2 linked regions of the Alligator mississippiensis genome follow. The protein of the gene in region 1 purifies or fractionates together with the protein of each later gene. This does not show direct contact. Links are inferred from orthologs where the notes say so. Each region holds a gene or a part of one and is shown in the gene's direction. Other genes may lie near its edges.

Region 1 (8,093 bases):
AGATTTAACTTCCCCCCACCAAAAAGGACCATAATCTGGCTTGGACAGAAAAGTTTAAAAAAACAAAACAAAACAAAAAAAAAAAAAAACCCAAACCCAAAAGTGACTGTTATAAAATTGCTGCTGTACCCCAAAATTGGCCAAGCCAGCATATTTCTTGGGATGAGCACCTGGAAAATGCTTTACAAATCTGCAGAAAATTTGTGCCAATGAGAGAACGCCACACATGGACCACGGGGTCCAAGCCCTCCACTTCCTGACGGCTGCCTGCTGGCTGCTGTGCAGGGGGTGGTGTTTATGGAACTGCAACCAAAAGCTAACCAGTCTCACTCCATGTCCCCAAAATTGACAAGGCTAGTACGTTTTTTGGGTAGAGCACCTGAAAATGCATCGTTGAGTGGCAGAAAATTGGGGCAGTAGGAGCAGTCTAACCCAAAGGCCACCCCCCCTCCCCCCCCAGAAAAAAAAACTAAACCAATCACAAATTTCATTCCTAACCTGCCCCCTGCTGTGATTTAGTAGTAGAAGATCGGGATGGTTAAAACTGTTATGATGTGTCTAGCGTTTTTTACTAGTTATAGTACATTAACGAATTTTGAGTGTTATACATGTTACGTGCAAAATAGTAACGGAAATCATTGTAGTACATTGTGAAAATGAAATAAACCCGGAGATTATCTTTAGCTAGAAAAAGCCAACATTGTGTGCAGGCACCCACAGTGCCCAGGCTGGGGGCGGGCAGCGCTGGCGCAAGAACTGAGCTTGGTGCGGGACAGGGCCCTGCTCAGACTTGTTCAGAGCATGCCGTGGCGGTAAAGACATGTGGTTTGGGGCAACCTGGAGAGGATTTGACCCCAGAAACCCAGCTGCAGATCAGGTCTTTTTGGTGCTGTGTCCTTGAGGCATGATGCTATTTTAGGTTGTCATAAGCAAATAGATCGTTTTGGTGCCACCTGGATTCTTTGGCTGCTGTACTTTGCTGCTAACAACCTTCAGCTGCGTAAAGACTGGGTCTGGGAAAGGGACCAGGACCTGGAAGTAAAGGACCAGCTTCAGCCTTGTGCTCGGGGTGGTGGGGGGGCTGTGTGCCTGCCCCAGGCTGAGCCCTGCCATTTTTTCCCCTCCACAGCTTTTCTACTCCTTCTTCAAGTCCCTGGTGGGCAAAGATGTGGTGGTGGAGCTGAAAAACGACCTCAGGTGAGCGGGTGCCTACTTTAGGCCTGGGGGGTGCCTTGGTTTCTGGGCTCCCAACTCCCCCCTCCCCTCCAGGCTTTCCCCACCTAGAGCAGAGGGAGAACCCAGAGCTGGGAGAGAACCCAGGTGCCCAGGTGTTTGGGCTCCCAAGTACTACCCCCTCCACACCTCACTCGGCTCCCGGAGCAGCAAAAGAACCCAGGTGTCCGGGCTTCCAGCCCCCTGCTCTAATGCATCTGCCCCCATCTCCAGCCAAGTGCTGGGAGAGAACCCAGGTATCTGGGCTCCCAACTCCCTCTGCTCCCCAACCAGACTCCACTCTCCCCCCACAGCACGGAGAGAACCCGAGCATCGGGGCTCCCCCTGCCCCACGAACTAACCCCCTCCTCTATTGCAGCATTTGTGGGACACTCCACTCCGTAGACCAGGTAGGACCTCTTCTCCCCCCCATGCCCCTCAATGATTCAGTCCCTTTAAAGGGCCACCCCTCCCCCCCAAGCTGCTCTGCAGCCAGCTAGGAGGCTCCAGGCCTCTACCTCACAGCACTAGGTTCAGGGCCTGTCTCTCTGTCTGTCTGTTCTTCCCACCCCCTCCCAGTACCTGAACATCAAGCTGACAGACATCAGTGTGACAGACCCTGAGAAGTACCCACACATGGTAATGGCCAGTGGGGGGACACAGGGGTTAGGCTTGGGTGTGTGTGGGAGGGCTGGGTTTGGGGGGTGTGGGGAGGCCAGGCTTGGGGCAGGGGGGTGAATTGAGGGGACTGGAGACTGGGGTTTAAGGGGCTTGGAGGTGTGTGTGGGGGGCAGGCTATGGAGGGGCTTGGAGGTTGCAGGGGTCTGGGGGTATATGGGGAGGCCAGGCTCTGGGAGGGTGCTGGTGGCTGGGAGTGTGGGGGGAGGCCAGGTCCTGGGGTGGGGACTGGCTTGGGTGGGGCTTGATGATATTGTGAGGGGCTGTCTCACTGGCTGTGGGGGGTCCTAGCTTGTGGCTGGAGCACCCTGGGGGAGGTGGAGAGTCCCCCAGCTGTGGACACTGACCCTCCTGCTCCCCCCCTCCCCCCAGCTGTCAGTGAAGAACTGCTTCATCCGGGGCTCAGTGGTCCGGTACGTGCAGCTGCCAGCCGACGAGGTGGACACACAGCTGCTGCAGGATGCCGCGCGCAAGGAGGCGCTCCAGCAGAAGCAGTGACCTGCCCCCCCCGGATGCCTGGGTTCCTGCCTCAGACCTGAGCAGAGCTGGAGCCCACGTCCAGACCTCCCCACACCCCTGTGTTCCTGTCCTGCCCCCCCCCCCCCCCCCCCCCCCCCCCACACCTGGGCTAATAGCTCAGAGGTGCCTGGCTCCTGCACTGTCTTGAGCAGCGCTGGAGCCTACATCTAGATCCCCAGACACCTGGGTTCGTGCCCTTCCGCACACCTGGATCCCTGTCCTAGTCTTGAGCAGCGCTGGAGCCAACATCTACCTCCCCGGACACCTGGGTTCCTGCTCCGGTCCTGAGCAGAACTGGAGCCATATCTAGGTCCCTGGGTGCCTGGGTTCTTCCCCCCTGCAACTACTGGGGGGGTTCCTCTTACGGGACCCCATCCCTTTTTTTCACCACACTCCTGAAGGCCCCTATTTTAGCCTGATCTTTTGTTGCACTGAGTTTTCTACCCCTCCTTTTGGTTCTTTTAAGGCAGGGTATCTAGTCTCCCTGCCCCCTATGGGATAGAGTCGAGGGTCCTGGAGGGGGAGGGGGTTCCAGCACCTGGGGGGCAAATAATCACATGGGGGCATCTTTGGGGCCTTGTCTGTGCATAGACTTGGCAGTGGGGTATTAAATTTGGGTGTCTTCAACCTTTGATTTGTATCAAGGCTTGTCTGGGTCTATGGGGCGGGGAGGGGGGTACTGGCCATGGTCCTGGACATCTGGGTTCCTGGAGCTCCCCCAGGGCCTCGCAGCTAGGAGGGACTGGAATGGGGGGGGGCTCTAGGCTCTAAGCTATGAAGCTGAAAAAGGGGTGGTGGTTACAATGGACTAGTCTATCTGACTTGCAGGGGGAGTGGAATGGACTAGTTTATGTAGAATGGTCTAGTCTACTTTAGATGGTTGGGGGGAGGGTAGAGTGGACTGGTCCACCTGGCTTGGATTGTAGGGGGTGGACTGGACTAGTTCTAGCTTGGCCTGCAGGGCCTACGGTGGACTAGTCCATTTGGCTTCTGGGGTAGAAGGGTTCTAATCTAGTTTAGACTACAAGGGCGTAAAGTGGACTAATCCATTTAGCTTTGTAGGGGTTAGAATGGACTAATTCAAATAGTTAGGATTGCATGGGGGTTTGGAATAGACTAGTCCATCTAGCTTGGCAGGCAGGGGGTAGAATGGACTACTCCATTTAGCTTTGTAGGGGGGTAGAAAGGACTAGTCCAACCGGCTTGGACTGCAGGGGGGAGTGGAGTAGCTCATTTGCCTTGGTTTGTAGGGGGAAGCGTAGGTTGATCTATCTTGCTTGAAGGGGGGGGAAATGGTGTTTAGACTGCTCCATTAGGCCTACCTCCTAGGGGGAGGAGTTCAGCCGGACTGATCCACCCGGAAGAGACTGGCGAGGGGGAACTTGGGGGTTTCTCCCCCCACCCCCCTGCCCCACAGCAGCCAGCCCTAGGGCCTGTTTAGCCTCATCAAGAATCCCCTGTGCCACACTGGGCTGCCTGGGGGTGGGAATGGACCAGCCCATCTGGCCTGGTCCATTCCCCAAGCTGGGGTGAGGGGTGTCTCCATCCCACCAGGGCTGGTGGTGGTCCCCTCTGCTCTGGTTTTATGCTCCCACATCTCAATAAAAGTGTTTTGTAGCATCCAGTCTCCCCTCTTCTTTCCTATCCCGGGTTGCGGCCCAGCTGCCCGGGTTCTCTGTTCAGTCCAGGGGTGGCCTGGGGTTAAAGCGGGAACCGGGACGCCTGGGTTCTCCGTTTATTTCGGGAGGGGTGTGGGCACCGCACACCCCTCCTGTTCTCTCTGCATTTTAGGGGCGGGCAGAATCCCGCCGGCCAGGCACTCCCGTCTAGCCCGCGGGGCCCGGCTGTGGCCTGGAAGGCCGGGGGCCCTCGCTGCCCCTCCGAAAGCCGGCGTGCATGCCGCAGCGCGGCTCTGCTCGCTGAGCACCGAGCACCCACTCGGCCCACCTGACCCGACCCGCCGCGGCCCCGAGCCAGGGGCTGCTAGAGACGAGCGGCTTCTGCCTGGCACAGGCTTTTGCTGGCCACCCCACGGCAGCTGCACCAGGCCGGGAGCCAGGGAGTTTGCACCGCGCGATGCTGCGGGGCAGTCAGCTCCCTTGTAGACGGGCCGCTGGCTCTCGCACCGGGGAGGGAGCGGGGTGGGTGTGGGGACTACAGAAGGGAGGGACACCTGGGCTCTCTGGGACCCTCCCAAAGGAGCCAGGTGTCCCTCCCAGCCCCCCTTCTCTAATGCCCCATTCCCGCAGAGACCAGCCCAGTGTCACGTGGGGAGTGGGGCCTGGGGGTGACAACAGGGGCTGGGGCCAGGACAGCCGGGCTCTGCCCCCGGCTCTACGCAGCCCCCGGCCCGCAGAGGAGCGCCCGTGAACCCAGGCGCCCAGGGGGCGCTATGACACTCTATGAACCTGCCCAAGTGCACGGCCTGCGCTGTGGCCGCTCTATCCACCCCAGCACCTTTATGCCTCCACGCAGCTTCCTTTCTACAAGGCCCCGTTTTGCGAGTATCCTAGCTAGTGCCTGTCCAACTAGATAAACAAAGCCACGCCCGCATTCATGCTAAAGAGGGGCACGGCTAAACCCGACCACGCCCCTCCAGCTGCCTAGTGAAGGCGGAGGGGGCGGGGCTGCGTGGCGCGGCTCAGGCAGTGCTGTGGTCAGCCCCAAGTGGGTCCTTGGAGTGTAGAGCGAGGCCGGGCGGCACACGTGGGGCTCTGGGAGGTAAGAAGGGGGCGGGGGGAGTGGTGGCAGGACCCCCTGTAATCCCCCACCCCCCAGAGCGTTGGAAGGACCCCCTGCAATCTTCTCCCCCAGAATTGTGGTAGGACCCTCTTTAATGCCCCCCCGCCCCTCCCAGAATTATGGTACGACTCACTATTATCCCCCTCCCGGATTATGGTGGGACCTGCTGTCATTTCTCCGTCTCCCCCGGGAATTATGGTAGAGCCCCTGGACCCCCCCCCCCAACTACCCAGAACCCACTATAATTCCATCCTCCAAATTATGGTAGGTCCTCCTGTCACTCCCTCTCTTGAACTGTGGTAGGACCCAGTATCCCCCCCCCCGAATTGTGGTAGCACCCCTTGTCATTCCCCACCTATTCCCAGAAGTATGGTACAACTCACTGTTAATCCCCCCTCATTCCTAGAATTATGGTATGATCCACTAACCCTCCCCCCCCCCCCCAAGATATAGTAGGGCCTACTGTCATCCTTCACCCTTCCCCACCAGTCAAGGTAGGACTCACTTATCTCCCCTCCCCCCCGAATTATGGTAGGAGTCTCTGCCATTCCTCTCCCTTCCATACAGTGTTGGGAGGACTCACTATAGCACCCCCCTGCACAGTTATGGTGAAACCACATATAATTCCCCTCCCTGCAAAATTATGGTATGACCCACTGTAAACCCCTCAGAATTAGCATAGGACTTACTGTAATCCCCACCCCCACCCAAGAATTATGATAGAACCCCATATAATCCCTCTCTCACCCCTGAATTATGGCGGGGCCCCTGGCCTTCCCCCCAATGATAATACAACCCACTAATAATACCATCCCCAGAATTACGGTAGGGCCCTCATATTCTTCTTCCTTTCCCCTAGAATTGTGGTACAACCCACTATAGCCCCTCAGAATTATGGCAGGATCCCATATAGTTTCATAGTTGGTAGGGTCGGAAGGGACCTGAGCAGATCATCAAGTCCGACCCCCTGCCATGGCAGGAAAGAGCACTGGGGTCAAACGACCCTGGCTAGGTGGCTGTCTAGCCTCCTTTTGAAGACCCCCAGGGTAGGAGCGTTCCAGATCCTATCTGCCCTGACAGTGAAGTGGTGCCTCCTGATATCTAATCTGAATCTACTCTCCATTAACTTATGGCCATTGTTCCTTGTTACTGCCGGTAGTGCTCGGGAGAACAGGGACTCTTCCATTGCCTGCTGGTCTCCGTTTGCAAGTTTGTAGGTGGCCACCAGATCCCCTCTCAGCATTCTCTTGAGGCTGAACAGGTTCAGGTCCCGTAGCCTCTGCTTGTAGGGCCTGCCCTGCTGCCCCCTGACCATGGTGGTGGCCCTCCTTTGGACCCTCTTGATCCTAGCCACATCCCTCCTGAAGTGCAGTGCCCAGAACTGGACGCAGTACTCCAGCTGCGGCCTGACCAGTGTTGCATAGAGGGGGAGGATCACCTTGGCCCTGCTTGAGATGCATCTGTGGATGCATGACAAGGTGCGGTTAGCCTTCCTGACCACATCCTCACATTGTCGGCCCATGTTCACCTTGGAGTCTATAATGACACCAAGATCCTTTTCTGCCTCTGTGCTTTCAAGAAGAGAGTTCCCCAGCCTGTAGGTATGCTGCTGGTTCTTCCTCCCCAGGTGCAGTACCTTGCAGCTTTTGTTAGACTGCAATAGAGAAGGAAGAACTAACAGAGAGATGCACCAAGAGGAGCAGCATGTCAAAGTTACAGGCTAGGAAAATAATGTTTACATCAGCTTTCTGGATGGATGTGAACAGAGCAAGGCTGCTTGCATCAAAAACAGTACAAAAAAGATGCAAATATATAATATAATCTCCCTACTCCACCAAGATTATGATAGGATCCCTTGTCATTCCTCCCTTCCCCCCCAGAATTGTGGTATGACCCACTATAATTTCCCCCTCCCCCCAGAATTATGGTACCCCCCAATTATGGTATGACCCACTCTAACCCTCCCCCAGGATTATGATAGGACCACTTTGTAATTCCCTCCTCGCCTTCCCCCAAATGATGATACGACTCACTATAATCCTCCTCCCCTCTAGTTACAGTAGGACCCCCTGTAATTCCACCCTCCCCTTCCAGAATTATGGTAGGACCTCCCTACTCCCTAGATTTATGGTACAACCCACTATAATTCCCTCCCTCCTCCCCAGATTACAGTAGGACCCACTGTTATAGGGGGCATGACTGGACACCTGGGTCCCTTTTGGTGGAGGGTGTCCATGGGATCGCATCAGCTGGGACACAGGTTCCTAGGAGCAGGGGTGGCGTTGGGGATCAGGGAGGGGGATCAGAGCAGGGTGGGGAGCTGACAGCCTGACTGTCTGTGTTCTCTGCCGCTGGGAATGGGGAGCTGCTGGATTGGAGTTGGGAGCCTGGACCCCTGGGTGGGCCCCAGGAGCTCCAGTGGGTTACAGCAGGGGGTGCTGGCAGCCTGGATGCTTGGGTTCTCACCCCCTTTCTTTCTCCCCTGTCCCAGGCCTGGACATGGCCACGCTGTTTGTGTCCCCCTGTGCCGAAGATGTGGCCAGCCGGCAGGCGCTGGTGGTATCGCGCTTTGCCCCCTGTCCACCCCGTGTGGTGCCTGTGCCCGATCTGACACCTCCTGGTCCCTTTGCCCTGCCCCGGCTGCCAGCATTGGAGGATCCAGGGGGGCTGCGTGTGACCGGAGCCACCGCTGTCACCTTCCTGCTGGCCCCCCCAACCCTGCGTGGCTGTGGCCTGGCCCAGGCCACTCTAGTGCGCCAGTGGGTGGCCTATGCCCAAGCTGATGTGGCCCCTGCTGCCACCGCTGCCTCCCTGCCCCACCTTGGCCTGGCAGCCCTTGGCCCACAGGTAAGCCTCCATTCTGTGGGAGGGGCGTGGGGGTGGGGGCTGGGAGCAGGAGGCCTTGGGTTCCCTTGGAAGGGGTGTGGGGGGCATGAGAGCAG
Region 2 (7,740 bases), on another chromosome or scaffold:
GAGCAGGGAGGAGCTGGGAGCCCGGACCCCTGGCTTCCACCTTTTTCTGGGGACCTCTCTGGTGAGCTGAGCCCTCCCCTGCCCAATCCCAAGCAGCACTGGTGTTTATCACTGGTTTCCCCCCCTCCCCGTAGGCACCTCGAACTGGTCGGAGGATTACTTCATCAACACCGCAGGCGTGGGCCTGGTTGTGAATCAGAGCACCGAGGAGCCGGGGACACCCGGGCCTTCCCTGCGGGAGCAGCTGGCCGCTGTGTTCAACCGGGACTGGGAATCTCCCTACACGGAGCCGCTCAGCCTCAAGCCCCGCTGTGCTGCCAGGCACTGAGGGCAGCTCCCGCTGAGGGTGGGGGAAAGCCTGGGACCCCACCCTCCTCCCCTGGACTGCTTTGGACAGCTGGGGATACCAGGTGGCTCCCACCCCCCACCTGGGGGGGCTGGGACCCTATTAGCCAAAGAAGGGGCAGCAGTAGCTGCCTAGTGCCAGGCACCCCATGGCTGCAGCTATGGCCAGGGGGTCTCTGCACTGGAATCTCAGGGTCTGATGCCCTCTCCCTGCCTGGGGGGGGCGAGGGGTCTTGGGAGGGTTGTGCTCAGGGCAGCAGCAGGGGCAATGGGCATTGTTTGGGGGGTAGGTCATGGGCTGGGGCAGGAAGAATCGGGGCTAATCAGGAGCAGGGCCTTGTGGCGGGAAGGCGGGACGGGGTGGGCAGGGGGCTGCTTTGCTGGATTGCATGGCATTGTGGGGGCACGGCGCCTCTGCCAGTTTGCACTGAGCCCGGCTGGGGGGCTGTGGCCCAGGTTTGGGGGGGGGGGGGCATACTGATGTGGGCCAAGGGGGTTCAAAGCTAGGCTGAGTGGCTAGCCCTGGGGGTGGCCTGCGTGGGGATGGGGGGGCAGGGGGCTTTGTACACAGGGGCTGTGCCTTGGGGGTGCAAGGGGACGCAGCCCTCCCCAGGGGCCAAACGCGGGGCCAGAGGTGGGGGGGTCGGTGGCTCTGAGCAGCTCCTATGTGGCTGGGGGAGGGGGGGGCTGCACCCTGCAGGGGGTTGCAGTGGGTTTGGGGGGCTTTGCAGCTGGGCCATTGCGGGGGGAGGAGTGGGAGTGGGGGGGGCCTGTGCATTGCAGTTGTCACTTTCCAGAGTTTATTTTTGTAACCAGAGCGACAATAAAGCAAATTCTGATGCCACTGGGCCTGTCAATCACCGCATACGCCCCACCCCTCGCGCTATCAATCACCGCCCCGGGCCCCGCCCCTGCCCCTGCCGGGGGCTCCGCAGCGCCCCCTTGTGCCTGCCGCGCGCAGGCGCCGTTGGGTGCCTCTGGTGTCATGGCGGCCGCGCAGCCAGCCTGCCTCTGCCCCGAGTGCGCATGCGCTGCAGCTCGCTGTCCCTCGGCTGAGCGCATGCGCAATTAGTTCCCGTGGGGGTTCTGTTACGGGCCGAGGGGGCGGGGCTCCCGCGGGGCTGCGGCCAATCGGGGGCAAGCGCGGTGTTGCGGGTTCTTTCCGGTCCGGAGACGTCGGGACTCAGGAGGATGTTTTACCACGTGAGTGGCGGAACCCCCCCCCCCCCCCATGCCCCCGGGGCTGGGACACTGCGGACCCCGCCCCAGGGAGACCCCCAGCGCAACCAGGCTTCCCGGCATGCACTGCTGCCCAGCCTTGAGAAGGGGGTTTACCTGGGGGGGTGGACAGCGGGAGGGTGACAGTCCTGGGGGGAGGAAGGAGGGCTGATGGGGGGAGGGAGGGGGGTTGACAGGGCAGTCCTGGGGGGGGTGATGGGGGGGCAGTCCTGGGGAAGGAGGGGAGTGGGTGGGGGCAGGGGGGCCTGTCCCAGCCCCTGTGACAGTCTGTGACCACCCCATGTCCTGCCCCAACAGATCTCCCTGGAGCACGAGATCCTGCTGCACCCGCGCTACTTCGGGCCCAACCTGCTCAACACGGTGAAGCAGAAGCTCTTCACCGAGGTGGAGGGCACCTGCACGGGCAAGTGAGTGGGGGGCCAGGCCAGGCTGGGTTGGGGGAGAACAGGGAGCTGGGACACGTGGATGGAGGGGATCCCACCATGATCTAATGTCCTAACGAGACTGGTGTTGTCCCTCCCCGCCCCGTTCCCTCCCTGGCAGGTACGGCTTCGTCATCGCCGTCACCACCATCGACAACATCGGGGCAGGCGTCATCCAGCCGGGCCGCGGCTTCGTGCTCTACCCCGTCAAGTACAAGGCCATCGTCTTCCGGCCCTTTAAAGGCGAGGTGGTGGATGCGGTGGTGACCCAGGTCAACAAGGTGAGGGGCGGCGGGGCACAGGAAAGCCTCTGGTGTAAGCCCTGGTGCGGAGGAGGGCTGCAGCCCTGCACCATCTGTCTTGGGATGCGGGGGGCTGTAGAAGCTGCTGGAGGCTGGGGCGTGCTGCCTCTGTCCCCCAGGACTAGAGTGACCAGATGTCCCATTTTTGGCTGGGACAGTGCCAGATTCTGCAGGCTGGTCCTGGCTGGCTGGGCAGAAGTCCTGAGCGGCGAGGCCGAGCAGCTTGGTGCGCCAGGCGGGCGGGTGGACACCTGCTGCAGTGCAGGAGCAAGGCGGGCGGACGTACGGCCACCCTAAGATACCACATCCGAGACCCCTACGTTCCTTGCTCCCGCGTTGCCCAAACCCAGGACTGTCACCGTGGCCCTCACAGCTTTGCTGCCTCCTCTTCCCGCAGGTTGGGCTCTTCACTGAGATCGGGCCCATGTCTTGCTTCATCTCCCGCCATGTAAGCACTGCCTGGGGAGGGGGCTGGGGGCTGCCTCTGGTCTGGGAGGCTCAGGTGAGACCTGGGAGCCCACCACAGCTGACTGTCCTTCTCTCCATAGTCCATCCCCTCTGAGATGGAGTTCGACCCCAATTCCAACCCCCCCTGCTATAAAACGGTGGACGAGGTGAGCTGGGGCTGACGGTGCTCCCTGGGGGCACCTGGCAGCATTGGGGGGCACTGGGGAGGCTGGGGTAGAAACTCAGGTAGGGGCTAGGGGGTGCCCCAGAGCAGGGCAAGGGGCAGGAGGGTGGCTGTTTTCCAGTACATGAGATTCCTTGGGACAAGGAAGGCCGGGACGGGGCATGTCTGCTTTAGGCTCTGCTACTGTCCTGTTGAGTGGCCTGGGCCCTGTCACTTTCCCCTCGCATGTGCCTCACTTTATTCATCTGTAAAACCATCCAGCCTCCTTCAAAAAACTTCTGAAACCAGAAAAGAGAGGGACAAGCTGGTTGCAAATGGCATCTTAGTGATGAGAGGCATTCATGTCATTGAAGCCCTTCTCCCCTGTGGAGGAGATGGCAGGGGCTGCCGTGGTGTGGGGGGAGGGGGAAGCAGGGTGCAGAAATGAGTCTCGCCTGGGCTCCACGTGTCTGCAGGACATCGTGATCCAGCAGGACGACGAGATCCGGCTGAAAATTGTGGGAACCCGAGTGGACAAGAATGACATCGTGAGTCCTGCCTGCTTCTTTCTGTGGGGCTGGAGCCGGGTTCCCAGCTACCCCATTCCTAGCAGAGGGGCTGTGGGCCTGGAGCAGCTGGGTGGGAAGGAGTTGTGGGGCTGTCCCAGTGCCAGCGGGGTGGGAGCATGGGGGCTCCAGTCCCAGGCTGCGGGAGGGGGCGGGGGGCATACGCGGTGCTCACACCTGTGTCCTGCTTTGCAGTTTGCCATCGGCTCCCTCATGGACGACTATCTGGGTGAGTCTCGTCTCTGGCTCCAGGCCTGCCCCTATCCCTGCGTACCTGCACAGACTGGTGCTCCTGACAGTTGGTGCCCGCGGGTCGGGCTCTGCTCACCGAGGGGCTGCAGTCTTTCTCAGGTGGGGGCTCCTGGGCGATGGTGCTCCAGGGTCTCCTACATCCACCCTTCTCTCTCCATGTCTCCTTCAGGTCTCGTGAGCTGATGCACAAGCCCGTTCCTCTGGTTGTGTCCCTGGGCTCCAGCTGGGATGAGCCTTGCCTCTGCCCCCCTGCACTGCTTGCCCTATTTATGGGGGTCCGGCGTGGGCCTGCCCAGGCCTGGGGGCCGGGTCCACACCTGCCTGTTCTTCCTCCCAATAAAAGCTGCTTTTCATACACCGCTGTGGTGTGTCTGCTGTTCCCCACTCCCTCCCGTGACCCGAAGCTGCTTCGTGGGAGTGGGAGGGTGTAGGGGGGCAGAGGGGGGCTGCCTGGGGCTGGGCTGTGCTGAAGCACCCGCCCCCGTAGAGCCAGGACTCTGCTGTGCTAGGTGCTGTACAGGCACAGGGTGGGAGTTTGGGGAGAGCTGCAGTAGGATGGAGGGGTGTTGGGGAATGAGCCTGGGATAAGGGGGTGCAGTGACCCTGCAACCCTGGCCAGCCCCATTGGGACCCCAGGGCGGTCTGGGAGGACTGGGACCTCCCTGAAAACAGCACCCCGCCCCCCAGCTGACAGCAGTGGGGGGGTGGGGTTTGGGGCGTGGAGGAGCCCTGGGAACAGCACGTGGGACCAGCTGCAGGACCAGCCCGCGGGCGCCCCCGTGTGACAGAAGCGCGTTATTACCACTTCCAAGGCCTCACCGCGCAGGCGCAAGCTCCTCCACGCCCCCCTACCGCCCCTCGGGAGACGCCCCTTCCGCTGCTGTGACGTCATATGCCGGCGCCGGCGGCAGGAGGCAGCTGTCGTGCTGCCGCGGCCGCGCGCTTTACGGCCCCGCCACCTCCTCCCCCGCGCGCTTTACGGCAGCCTCCCTTTCTCCGCTCGCGAAGATGGCGGTGGCCGGGGTGAGTGCGGGGGCCCCCGCCCCCTCGCGCTATCCGGCCCCATCCGCCCCGGGGGGGGCCCGGCCGGGGCCGGCGCGGGGCGGGCGGCCGAGGGCGGCCCTGGCCCGTCCCTTTGCGGCGGTTATTGGCGGGAGCTGGCGCGGAGGAGCCGCTTGCGGGGCCTGGATGTGTGGGGGGGGGGCCTGGCTCGGGTGACAGCAGGCCTTGGCCCCTAGAGGGTTTCCCTGGGGGGCGGGGCTCGGGCAGGGACCGGGTCGGGGGGGGCGTGACCCTAGCAGAGGTGCTGGGGGCCCCTGGGCCAGTAAAAGGGGGGATTGGGGTCCCGGGGGGGGGTGCTGGTGCCAAGCAGGGAGCTGGCACCGGGCACTGTGCTGCGTGGGGGGGGGGGAAGCTGTGCAAAGGGGGCACAGGAAGGTGTGAAGTGGGGGGGGCATGGGCTGGAGCTGAGGACCCCTTGGTTGGGGTCTTGAGGGGTGTGTGGGGGGGGTCAGAGGAGATCAGTCGGGGGTCGGTGGGTCTGTTGCAGGAGTGAGTTGGCAAAGGGGGGGGGCTAGGTTGAGGGGGGCTGAGGATCCTGCTGGGGGTGGGGCAGGGCAGTGCCCAACGGTGGGTGGGCTTTCGGGGTGCCTCGAGTGAGGGGTGCAGGTGCCTCGCTGGGGGCGAGGGAGCGCTGTGTGCGCGTGCGGGGGGGGGGGGCGCTGCCCGACTCCCCTCACCCCCTGCTGCGCCCCACAGACTCTGTACACCTATCCCGAGAACTGGCGGGCCTTCAAGGCGCTCATCGCCGCCCAGTTCAGCGGCGCCAAGGTCAAGGTCCTCTCCACGCCCCCCCAGTTCCACTTCGGGCAGACCAACAAGACCCCCGAGTTCCTGAAGAAGTTCCCCGTCGGGAAGGTGGGTAACGGCGCCACAGGGGGGGGGGGGGGGGGATGGGATCTGGCTGGGGGCTTTGCCAGGTTTCCAGCCGTGAGTCATCGAAATCGGACACGGCTCCGCTGCCACGCTGTCCTTCTGCCCCGGCTCCTTGCGCTGTGGGGGTGGAGGGCAAGGGGTCCCGCTTCGCATCGAGGGGAGCCGTGCGTCTCCCCAAGGGGAGCTCGGACGGTGTTTGTAAGGGGAGTTTTTCTTTCCAAAGCTTGGCAAGGGGGAAAGGCTACTCCTAGGAGCTGGGGGTGCCCCGAAGGTGGGTTCCCGTACCCACAATCCGTGGTTCCCGTACCCTACTGGTAAACGCCTCTTTCTCTGCCAAGGTCCCGGCTTTCGAAGGCGACGATGGGTTCTGCGTGTTTGAGAGCAACGCTATCGCGTACTACGGTGAGCCCGGTCCCTCTCCAGCTTCAGGGGGCTCCGGTCCAGGCAGCTCTGAGTCTGTCGGAGGTTTGGGGCTGGGGGGATGGATGTTGGGGGCAGCGCCACGTGTCTAGAGCGCTGAGAAGTTTCCTTCCCCAGTGAAGATGGGAGGGACGGGGGGCTCTTGTGCTGCTGGTGACTGTGGGCTCCCTTCTCAGTCAGTAACGAGGAGCTGCGGGGTGCTAGCGCCGAGGCCGCCGCCCAGGTCCTCCAGTGGGTGAGCTTTGCAGACAGCGACGTCGTCCCCCCTGCCAGCACCTGGGTCTTCCCCACACTGGGCATCATGCACTACAACAAACAGGTCTGTGGGAGCCGGGGCTGGAGCGGGGGGCACAGGGCTGTCCTGCAGGGGCCTGCGGTGAGGTGAAGGCTGGGATTCGCTGTCATTTCTGTCGGCTGTGGGCTTCCTGCTCCCCTACTGCCTTTGTTGCCCCAGGCACAGAGCGAGGTCCTGGCTGCTTGGCGATGAGGCTAGGTGGATGCTCAGAGGCGTTTGGTAGCTGAGGTCTGTTGTCTTTCGACCTGGAGTCAGGGGAGGGGTGCTGGGCTTAGCTATGTACAGGTGTGCCTTAAGAATGGCTGGGCGTGGGGTGTCCGCAACCTGCCTCTTTCTCTGGTCCCCCCAGGTGAGACCCTGGCGACTGCCCGAGTGGGTTGCAGGTGCACCCAGTGCTCGTGGGCTCCCCTGCTGCAGTGGATGCCCGGGCCAGGGTAGTTGGGTGGACTGTGCTCTGCAGCGGGAGCTCCCCTGCCGGAGACCTCCCCGTGCTGACTGCCTCTTGGATTAGTGTCTGAGCACCTAAGGGATGGGCTAGAGCTAGGGAGGAGGCTTTTCCGCATGGGTTTCTCTGGCCTGGGTGCTGATCTGGTGTCTTTGCTCCCCCAGGCAACAGAACTTGCCAAGGAGGAGGTGAAGCGGGTACTGGGGATCCTGGATGCACACCTAAGGACTCGGACCTTCCTGGTGGGCGAGCGGATCACGTTGGCTGACATCACCGTCGTCTGTACCCTCCTCTGGCTCTACAAGCAGGTGCGGGTTGTGGGGGGAGGGTGGCTCCGTGGCCGTAGCCAGCAGCTCTGGAGGGGGCTGGCAGCTTTGGAGGCTCTGGACAGGGGCTGCTGTCTAGACGGATCACTTGGCTTGGCCTGGAGCTCTTGGTGTCCAGGACAACAGAAGGCTGCCGCTGTGTGTGCTGCGTAGCCGCCAAGGTTTGTGGGGGAGGTAGAAGGGAACCAAGATCCTCTACACGCTGTGGCGATGGGGCCAGCCCCAGCTGACTGGTGGCCTGTCCCTCCAGGTTCTGGAGCCATCCTTCCGCCAGCCCTATGTGAACACCAACCGCTGGTTCGTCACCTGCATCAACCAGCCGCAGTTCAAGGCCGTGCTGGGGGAGGTGAAGCTCTGCGAGAAAATGGCCCAGTTTGATGGTGAGGAGCTCCCTGGGCTGCGAGGGGGGAGCTTGGCTGAGTCCCCTTGCCAAGGTGTCGGGGTTTGTTCCTGCCTCCCAGGAGCAGCCACTCGCCAGCATTGCCCAGGCTGCACCTGGAGCTAGTGCAGGGGGCCCATCCCGCACCAGCACTTCCTCATAGGCTGGCCCTGTCCTCGCTTCCACTGCAGCCAAGAAGTTTGC

The links. Proteins that work in one complex are often made in the same cells at the same time.
Region 2: the proteins of VARS1 (region 1) and EEF1G purify together in Homo sapiens (affinity purification with mass spectrometry; 6 studies listed by BioGRID and IntAct, counting the BioPlex papers as one, with this or other methods). This does not show direct contact. The link is inferred for Alligator mississippiensis from reciprocal best matches to the Homo sapiens genes VARS1 and EEF1G.

The regions. Positions count from the first base shown.
Region 1 is NC_081834.1:57,717,669-57,725,761, forward strand, and holds the start of VARS1 (valine--tRNA ligase), read left to right. Parts: upstream 1-5,031; 5' UTR 5,032-5,130; intron 5,131-5,178; exon of another isoform or gene 5,179-5,230; intron 5,231-7,642; 5' UTR 7,643-7,650; coding exon 7,651-7,998; intron 7,999-8,093. Other genes in the region: U6 snRNA-associated Sm-like protein LSm2, read left to right, coding at 1,130-1,197, 1,592-1,622, 1,792-1,851, 2,263-2,388. UniProt on the Homo sapiens protein: Catalyzes the attachment of valine to tRNA(Val).
Region 2 is NC_081838.1:3,125,664-3,133,403, reverse strand, and holds the start of EEF1G (elongation factor 1-gamma), read left to right. Parts: upstream 1-4,660; 5' UTR 4,661-4,744; coding exon 4,745-4,759; intron 4,760-5,494; coding exon 5,495-5,653; intron 5,654-6,009; coding exon 6,010-6,073; intron 6,074-6,267; coding exon 6,268-6,410; intron 6,411-6,995; coding exon 6,996-7,139; intron 7,140-7,407; coding exon 7,408-7,537; intron 7,538-7,727; coding exon 7,728-7,740. Other genes in the region: 5'-3' exonuclease PLD3, read left to right, coding at 135-328; POLR2G (DNA-directed RNA polymerase II subunit RPB7), read left to right, coding at 1,537-1,548, 1,882-1,991, 2,128-2,287, 2,706-2,756, 2,857-2,922, 3,395-3,466, 3,680-3,713, 3,906-3,919. UniProt on the Homo sapiens protein: Probably plays a role in anchoring the complex to other cellular components.